Nothobranchius furzeri: one gene and its partner. The protein of the gene in region 1 purifies or fractionates together with the protein of each later gene. This does not show direct contact. Links are inferred from orthologs where the notes say so. Each region holds a gene or a part of one and is shown on either strand. Other genes may lie near its edges.

What was found.
Region 2: the proteins of eif4g3a (region 1) and eif4a1b purify together in Homo sapiens (co-immunoprecipitation; 6 studies listed by BioGRID and IntAct, counting the BioPlex papers as one, with this or other methods). This does not show direct contact. The link is inferred for Nothobranchius furzeri from reciprocal best matches to the Homo sapiens genes EIF4G3 and EIF4A1.

What each region holds. Positions count from the first base shown.
Region 1 is NC_091743.1:76,832,888-76,836,703, forward strand, and holds part of eif4g3a (eukaryotic translation initiation factor 4 gamma 3), read left to right. Parts: intron 1-1,023; coding exon 1,024-1,135; intron 1,136-1,267; coding exon 1,268-1,419; intron 1,420-2,504; coding exon 2,505-2,630; intron 2,631-3,816. UniProt on the Homo sapiens protein: Component of the protein complex eIF4F, which is involved in the recognition of the mRNA cap, ATP-dependent unwinding of 5'-terminal secondary structure and recruitment of mRNA to the ribosome. Functional homolog of EIF4G1.
Region 2 is NC_091743.1:86,638,296-86,642,908, reverse strand, and holds the start of eif4a1b (eukaryotic translation initiation factor 4A1B), read right to left. Parts: upstream 2,935-4,613; 5' UTR 2,850-2,934; coding exon 2,827-2,849; intron 1,751-2,826; coding exon 1,708-1,750; intron 1,461-1,707; coding exon 1,328-1,460; intron 1,080-1,327; coding exon 940-1,079; intron 446-939; coding exon 277-445; intron 130-276; exon of another isoform or gene 1-129. UniProt on the Homo sapiens protein: ATP-dependent RNA helicase which is a subunit of the eIF4F complex involved in cap recognition and is required for mRNA binding to ribosome.

The DNA of each region.
Region 1 (3,816 bases):
CTGCAGGTGTTATGCAGAGAACAGTTACCCCGCCTGCCTGCTCCGTCACATGAACATGCATTGCTCAATACAGCTACATACTGAGGGAGTAAACAACTTGAAATAAGAGCAAGGCTGCAACTTTTAAGTATATTTACAATATAAACAAGTTTTTAATTGGTGCACTTACTTAAAAAATGAAAGTGAAACTTAAAGAACAATTTGGATGTTTCTTCTTATTTTAATGCATTCCTGATTTATTTCCCCCTTTTTTTCTTATTTTAATGCTTTGCTAAAAATGTATTTATTATTATTTTATTGCTTTTCTGAAACCGGGACTCGGTATCGGCAGATACTCAGAATCAAATGACTCTGAATCGGATCGGGAGTAAGAAAATGTGATCGGAACATCCCTAGTATCTATTTAGACCCTGTCACACGTCGCAGAGTATCCCACAAAACTAAGATGTTTATCTATTAGGTTAATCACCTGCTGATTGAAATCAGGTGTGTTGAAACAGGGAAAACACTAAAACAAATAGGATGGTGGCCCTCAAGGACCGGGATTGCCCACCCCTGGTCTACGGGTCGTCCATTTGAAAGTTGAGATCTATGGCACCAGAAACAATTCTTTCAAAATCTCCGACCAAAGTGGAGATTTGCAAATTCTCTGTTGTGTATGTAAGTAACTGGGATTTTTATTTTTGCTACGTTACTGCCTGCGAAAAAATGCTCTGATATCATATGTGTGACCTGTGTTCACGCCTTATTTTTTTTACAAGCTCAGCTACTGCTCTATGTAGCAAACCACAGGCCAAGGCCTGCATTATGGATGGTTGGTGCCCACCACCTAGTTATTCCAGGTCCAAGAAATGTTTTTCAGCAGTGACTCCATCGATTTGGGGAACCACTGCACTGGATCTTTTACTGAAAACGATGTGGTGTGACTCAAGTTTTATTCCTTAGATGGGCAGTGGAGGTTTTAGAGAAACTTGGCCATCATTCCTATATTTGTTTATCTTTGTGTGTCCTATGTACTTCCAGTATCGACCCAGTACACCCTTTGTGGGACCTCCACAGCAGTATTCTGTACAGCCTCCAGGCTCTGGCACCTTCTACCCTGGTCCCGGACCAGGGGAGTACCCTGCCCCATATCGTGAGTCTTTCCCAGAGAATCATGAATTCACACTAGCGCATCAGTCTGCTCACAGAAGAGCGATAATTCCTTATTTCACTAGAACATATTTTCTTCTGTTTTGTTCTTTTCTTTTCTGGGTAATGTATTCAGATGCCCTCAGGTACCACCCTCCAGTCTCTCCCTCTGTACCCGCTCCCGTCCCCACAGCTGGCTCGCCCTTTTACCCAGGACAGACACTGTTCCCCCCCTCGCCCCCCATCTTAGTGCCTACACAACATTCAGCCAAGCGTGAAAAGAAAACGGTGAGTGTCTCAAGTTTTTTTTTTTTTTTTTGTCTTTTCAATATTTGGCATGTTGCTGCCTTTAAAGACTGAGTTCTCCAAGAAACAGCTTTTTACTTGTTTTTGAAATGTGATCGGCCACTCTGAGTTCATGGGACGATGGTGGCGGGGGAGCTAGGTTCCTGTCTCGTAACTTGAAGGTAGTGGAATCGAGTCCCGCTCAATCTGTCACAGTCGTGTTCTTGGGCGAGACTCTTGACCCAGGTTAGCTGCTGGCGGTGGTCGGAGGGACTGGTGGTGCCAGTGTTCAGCAGCCTTGCCTCCCGTCAGTGCGCCTCAGAGCAGCTGTGGCTACAACGTAGCTCATCACCAGCGAGCGAATGAATGGATGTGTTATGAAGCACCTTGGGGGGTTGTACACGCCATTTACCATTACTCTGAGTTTAACATGCAGGTTAAACAGGAAATCGGTCTTCTACCCCATTTCCTGCATTAGCCGCTGATAGAAAACAGATGGGAAACGCTTGGATTGGAAAAGCCAGTCGATTCCATGTCTCATCGATAGTTAATGCTTATGATCTCACTCATCTTGCTCACGATGAGGAGAACTGTTGTTGATTTAGCATCCAGGAGAAATTAGAGCACATCTGTAGAAGCTAACCATTAGCATTAGCAACTCCACAACACAGCAGAACTCCTTCAGGCTTGTGTTATTTGTGGAGATAAAACATGAATGATGCAAAGCAAATGGAGTCATTGTTAGAATGGTTTTGCTTTTAGCCAGTTAGAGGCGAGATGTCTGAATATCAGGAAATAAAACTCCAGATTATACCGTCTTCTCCTAACCTCTCCTGTGGCTCACTTCTAGTTACTGAAACAGGAGCGCCAGAGCTTTTTTTCCCACAGTGATTGACTCAAAGGGGCATTCAATGACACGAGATCCCACTGCAAATGTATTGGAAAAAACGTGTGAACCTTGTTAATAATGTTCCTGTTGACATTTTCAGTTTGGGGAGAGTTCAGGTTTGATATTATCAGTAGTTAGAATAAACTTAAAAATCAAACAGTTAAAATGTCTTTTCTATTTGCTTTTTATATAATTTTAGATCCGTATTCGTGACCCAAATCGAGGTGGCAAGGATGTAACGGAGGAGATCTTGGCAGGGGGCTCAGGAAGCAGGAATTCAACGCCTCCTATCGGCCCCCCTTTCTCCACCCCGACCCCTCCACAGGTACAGCGCCTCTACTTTACACAGATGTGATGCACAGCACTGAAATAGGAGCAGTGTCTCGTGTTGCTTAATCACAGTGGGAGCTTTTTGCTCCAGTAGTCTCTTCACCACCTTGGGGGAGGCCAGCGGTGCGTGGCCTTTATGACTCCATAATTTATTAGCACATCCCAGAGTCACTGGAAAGTCCTGATGGCTCTCCGATTAGATTATGTTATGCCTTCTCCTGGATCTGAGATGAAAAACAGATTTTTAGATTAACATAACTAGAGTTTTTAATGGGCGGTGCCGTTACAGTTGTGTTTTTACCGGAGGTGATTTGTTTGTTCATTTATTTGTTTGTATGCCCGTGAGTTAGTTTGTTTATGACAAAAAATATTTTACATGTTACGCACAGAGAACGTCGCAGAGGTAACAATCAACAAAAGATCTCCATCAGCGCGCCTGAGCCTTTTCTCCCCTCCTCCGCCTCTCGCTGCCGACAGTGGGCGCACACGCGGCGCGCAGAGGAGGAGCTTGGAGAGCGTCTGTGACGCACTCCACATCGTCCACAGCAGCGTGGTGTTGAGTGGAAACCCTTCTGTCTTTCAGAAAGCCTGGAAGACTTCTGGTTATTTCATTTGGAGAAACATTTCATGATTTAAGTAGCGCTCGTCGTTATTCAGCTCCTGCATCGAGTGTGTCTGCGGAGCGCGGATCCATCCAGAACAACGTTTAAATATCCACGAGTCTGTCTGAGGCAACAGTCCAGAACCTCTTAACCTCTTCAACAAGCACCTCAAAGACATTTGATTACGCACAAGCTGCAGGTGACCAGTTCAGGGTTACGCGGCGCAGGAGGAACGTGCGTTTGGGCCGCAGCAGGTGAAATGTTCCTACTTTAAGTGATTTCGTTTAATTGCATTGTTAATGCTACCGGAGCACTCTGGTCAGCTTATGTGGACCACATATTAATTTAAATGAATGGAAATTCAACAAATTATTATTCATTGTTTTAAAAATGAAAGTGACGGGATAAATGGATCGTGCGGCCTCCTCAGCGATTCATTTAATTTCCTACTCATGAAACAAAGAAAGTCTTTAATATATAATATATAAAATACCCTAATGGTAGGCACCACGAGGAAACAGAGACCAGGCTTCTTTTAACACTTTAACCGTGTTTTTTACGTCACTCTACCAAACTACA
Region 2 (4,613 bases), about 9.8 Mb from region 1:
ATGAGGGTGTGATCATGTCTCCAAGTCCCTGATGTTGTGAAAACCCAGGTCAGCAGAACGCTAGCCTGAACATCACCACACCAGGACGACTCAAGAGTCAGTTGACACGCATGGATTTCATCATCATACTGCACTTCCTGGGTTCAGGAAGTGATCTGTTAAAAGAAACAACCCACTAACCCAAAGAACCCGACCATTTGGTACCTTCTAGGCCTGGTCCAATACAAGTCCATCTACCAGAAGTGTGTCATTCCCAGAGACGGATAAAGTACTCACAGATGTTTTTACGTGTTATCATGTCAAAGACACGGCCCGGGGTTCCCACCACGATGTGAGGAGCTTCCGCCTGCAACTTCTGGACTTCACTGCGGATGCTGGTGCCCCCAATGCAGGCGTAGCAACTGGCCCCCATGTAGTCGCCAAGAGCCAGAACCACCTTCTGGATCTGCAAACACAAGCCAGGTGGTTTGTGAGGAACCACAACCCTAAACCAACGTCAGACTTAAGGTGAGGAAGATGTGGCAGCAATGCACTAAACTCACTAGTCACCCAGTCTGTCCCCACCTAGTAGTAAAGGGCCTACAACCCCCCCCCCAAGGTGCTTCACAACATGGTCATCCACTCATTTAAGCTGGCTTTCACGCGACCTTCGTCAACACTGTCCTTATTTTGCTCAACCTATCCCGCCTTTCCCAGGAGCCACTGATCGTTTTCCACCCCCCCCCTCCCCTTTTTTACATTTTTAAAATCACAATTTTGTATTTTGGCATTTAACTCAATTTCAACCCAAGTAGGTCTAGTGGGTGGGCGGAGGGAAGAGCGATGAGGAGCTCTTGCTCATGCTGGGCGAGCCAGTTTTAAGTCCCTTGGGTCAGTTCAGTCACAGGCCTGTTGAGAAATCAATAGCCAACACCCTAACTGGTGTGACTGGGTCCTTACCTGCTGAGCCAACTCCCTGGTGGGAGCCAGAACCAGAGCCTGGGTGCCTTTCAGCTCTATGTCGATCTGCTGGAGGATGGAAATGGCAAATGTGGCAGTCTTCCCAGTGCCAGACTGGGCCTGAGCAATCACATCGTAACCTGGAGACCAGAGAGACGGAAAGGGTTTTCAACTAAACTAATCCAGATCATCATCACCAACTCCACTCCAGCTGGCTGATACGGGCTTGTCCTAAAGGTGCAACATTAGCCACATCAGGGCTGATGAGTCATCGGTACGATGATGTTGTGTAACCAGTCAACCACACAAGACAAAACAAAGCTGCTGAGATTTTAGTTAATCTAAGGAAAACACTAAAGTGCACCCTGAGGCCAGTCCTCTTACCTACCCTTGATACAAGGGAGAATAGCTCTTTGCTGGATAGCAGATGGCTTCTCAAAACCATAAGCATAGATTCCCCTGAGCAGAGTTTCACGCAAGTTCATCTCATCAAAACTGTCCACGATCTGGTTCCAGTTGCTCTGGGAGACAGAAACAAGGCAGAGTGACGTCAATATTTCCTACAAATGCTGATCGGATGAGACCAAGACAGAATCAGCAACAAGGCCTTAGAATCAAAAGGATCCTGTTCATTTTAAACTCAGTCCAGATGGAAAAGCTTAATCTCTCCTAATCATACAAGGCAGTTACTGCACATGTGAAACATCAAATATGTAAAAAGCAGGAACACATCTACGTCAGAAACCTTTAATTAGTAGAAATTTTTACCTCGATGATGCCATCGGGCTCCATGCCCTCGGGGCCATTGTCTCTGAAACCAAACAATGAATATTCATTAAAATCACGGATCCATCATTTCTCTGGGTTCCGTCAGCAGACGGGTCCGGTAACGGGTCCAGAACGATCGGAACCAGCCCGGTAGTCTGTAGAACCGACCGAAGTCGTTAAACGGTAAAGCGACCAGACTGGATCCTTCAACGGAGTCCGCCATTTTTATCGTAGGCCGCATTCAAGATGGTCGATCCGACCAGCTAGCAAAGGCACTGAAACAGGCCGTGGCCCGGAAAACATTCGAGTTTACGGTCAGATGAAGTATTTAACGAGCAAAAACGGAACATGACGTTCCGGATGGCAACGGTCCAGCGAGACAGAGTTAGCTTGTAGCCACGGCCTGCTAACTTAGCTGGTCCTAAGCGGGCCTCTGGGTCTCTACCCAAGGATACAGCTAGTAGAATCCATCACCAACAATTTCCTTGCCGAGGGAAACCGTGAGGAACGGATTAGGGTTGCTCCAGCGGCGGCAATGACAGAAAAATGAAAAGTCGCGTTAGCATGTCCACCCTCCCAGTTAGCGCCGCCATGTGCACCGATCACCGAGGCCAGAACATCTAACGCCTACGCTAACGGGAAGGCTGCAAATGGTCGGTTGTACGCGAGAAATCACAGACGGAACATCATTTCGCTGGTTTTGGTAACGGAGTGACGGCAGACACCCTAAACTACCAAGTCGGCGAAGGCCTGGAGCCCTCACGTGCTACACGGAACCGGCAGCCTTTTCTTTTTTCTCAGGGCCGACATCTTTAATACACGTTCACTCTTCTGGCGAATACAAATACGCGATTAAACCTACAAAATCAACTTTTGAACTGGTTTACCTAAGTGATATCAGTATCGATCAATAAGACTGAGATTCTAGCATCACCACTGAGAACAGGCCTCTAACAAGGCTAGTCCTTTTAATAAGCCACTCGCGGTGCCTCAAAGTCTATATTACGGGCGAGTTCCTAGTCACCAATTCTCACAATTCGACACAAAAAACACAAACGGCAATAAATATCGTAAATAAAACAGTATAATATTGTTTGAACAATTCGTTATTTCACTGACCTGTTATCATATTCAGCCGACATTATTCCAAAGAAAGAATCCGGGGCAGAAAATTCTTATATATGAAGAACTCACAACGTCGCATTTTCATTGGACAACATCACCGTCACTTTTCTGTAGACCCGCCTGTCGAGGTTCGTGATTGGTCCACTCCTACATGTATTTTTAAAAGGCGGGACTAGGCGGAACTTTGCTTTCCACCAGAAAGAGGTAGGGATCTTTTTCGTTTAAACGATCAAAAACAAACATTGACAAGAACGAAAGTCTATTAGAGATAAAAAATCATGGTTTGTTACTGAGAGCGAAGCGGGACGCGGGGACTTGATTCAGAGCTGACTTCAAACCTTTACTGTAAGAACAATAATGCCCAAAAAGGGCAAAACGTTAACCGCAATAGTAAAATAAATGCGAAATGTTGACCTTTAATGGCTGATAAAATGGGTCAATAATGAGAATCATTTTCAGTTGAACATTAACTTACACCGCACATTCAGAGTTTATTCATTTTCTAAGTTATTGTGAGGTTGGACTCTTTTTACAGTGCATAATTAGTACATCAAATGTATTGTACCAAAGTGTTTTATCCCTCCCAAAATGTTGTAAAACAATTACAAAAATGTATTTTCTTATAAACATTTCTGCAGTTCTAATAAATTGTCACAGTAATTCTTTTTGACAGCAGTAATGTGTTGTTTTGTCCTACCTGTGCAGGTCAGCTGAGCTCTGACCTCAGTGGCGATAGTCCGTGCTCCCTACATCTGTTATCTGTAAACTTTCTCATTCTGTCTGTTTTGGTCAAAGAGTAAAGGCCACTTGAATCTTCAGATATGTTAATCCATAGATGTTTAAAATCACGTTTCACCACAAGTGTAAATGCTGCGGTCGAGTCCAAAATCAACACATTTAGGATGAATCATTTTTAGTTCACTAAAGCAAGAGTGGCTCAGAATGGCCGGACCTGCTGGAAGGTTCTGTAAGAATATACTCCACTTGTTCGGGTCATGAAATGTTTTTTTATGTAAATTATGAATGATCATCTAGGGATGCACCGATACGATACCAATACCAGTATCGGTAAAAGTTAACCGATACCAATGCAGTTGCTTGAAAATGGCTTCACTGTAACTTGTCATTTCTGTTCACCTAATATTTTGGTTTTGTGATGATTTCTTTTCATATATTTTACTTTTTATCTACCTCACAGTCCTCCTGTTGAAAGCAGAGAAGAAAATAAAATCTGAATTCCAAATCATTGCATTTTTTTGTGTGGTAGAAGTATCGGTAGTGGTAATCGGTATTGTGAGTACTCAGATCCAAGTATTGGTATCGGTTTGGAAAAAAGTGGTATCGTTGCATCCCTATTATCATCACACTGACTTTATGGATGACTAGCTACTCAAGCTTTAAATACACAGTTTGTTTGCCACATGTTTTTTTTATTTTAGCAACCATAATGCATCATAGAAGATATAGAAAACAACTCTGTTGCATCAACTGAGGAAAACAGGATGCAAATCTAAAAACACAACTATCCACAAGTATGATGTTTATTTTGTGTATATATTTTTATATATATATACACTGGAACAAAAAAAAAGAGAGAAAGCACGTAACTCAGTTGTGGACATATGGTGCCTGTTGTGTAGCTGCTGTGGTCCCCACCAAAATGGCTTAAAAAAACCTAAAACATTTTTTAGACTTACTGCAAAAGAACAGAAAACGTAGTCCGTTTCAACACCATTAGTTCAAAGCAATACGCATTTCACCACATTTACTGACAGGAATAA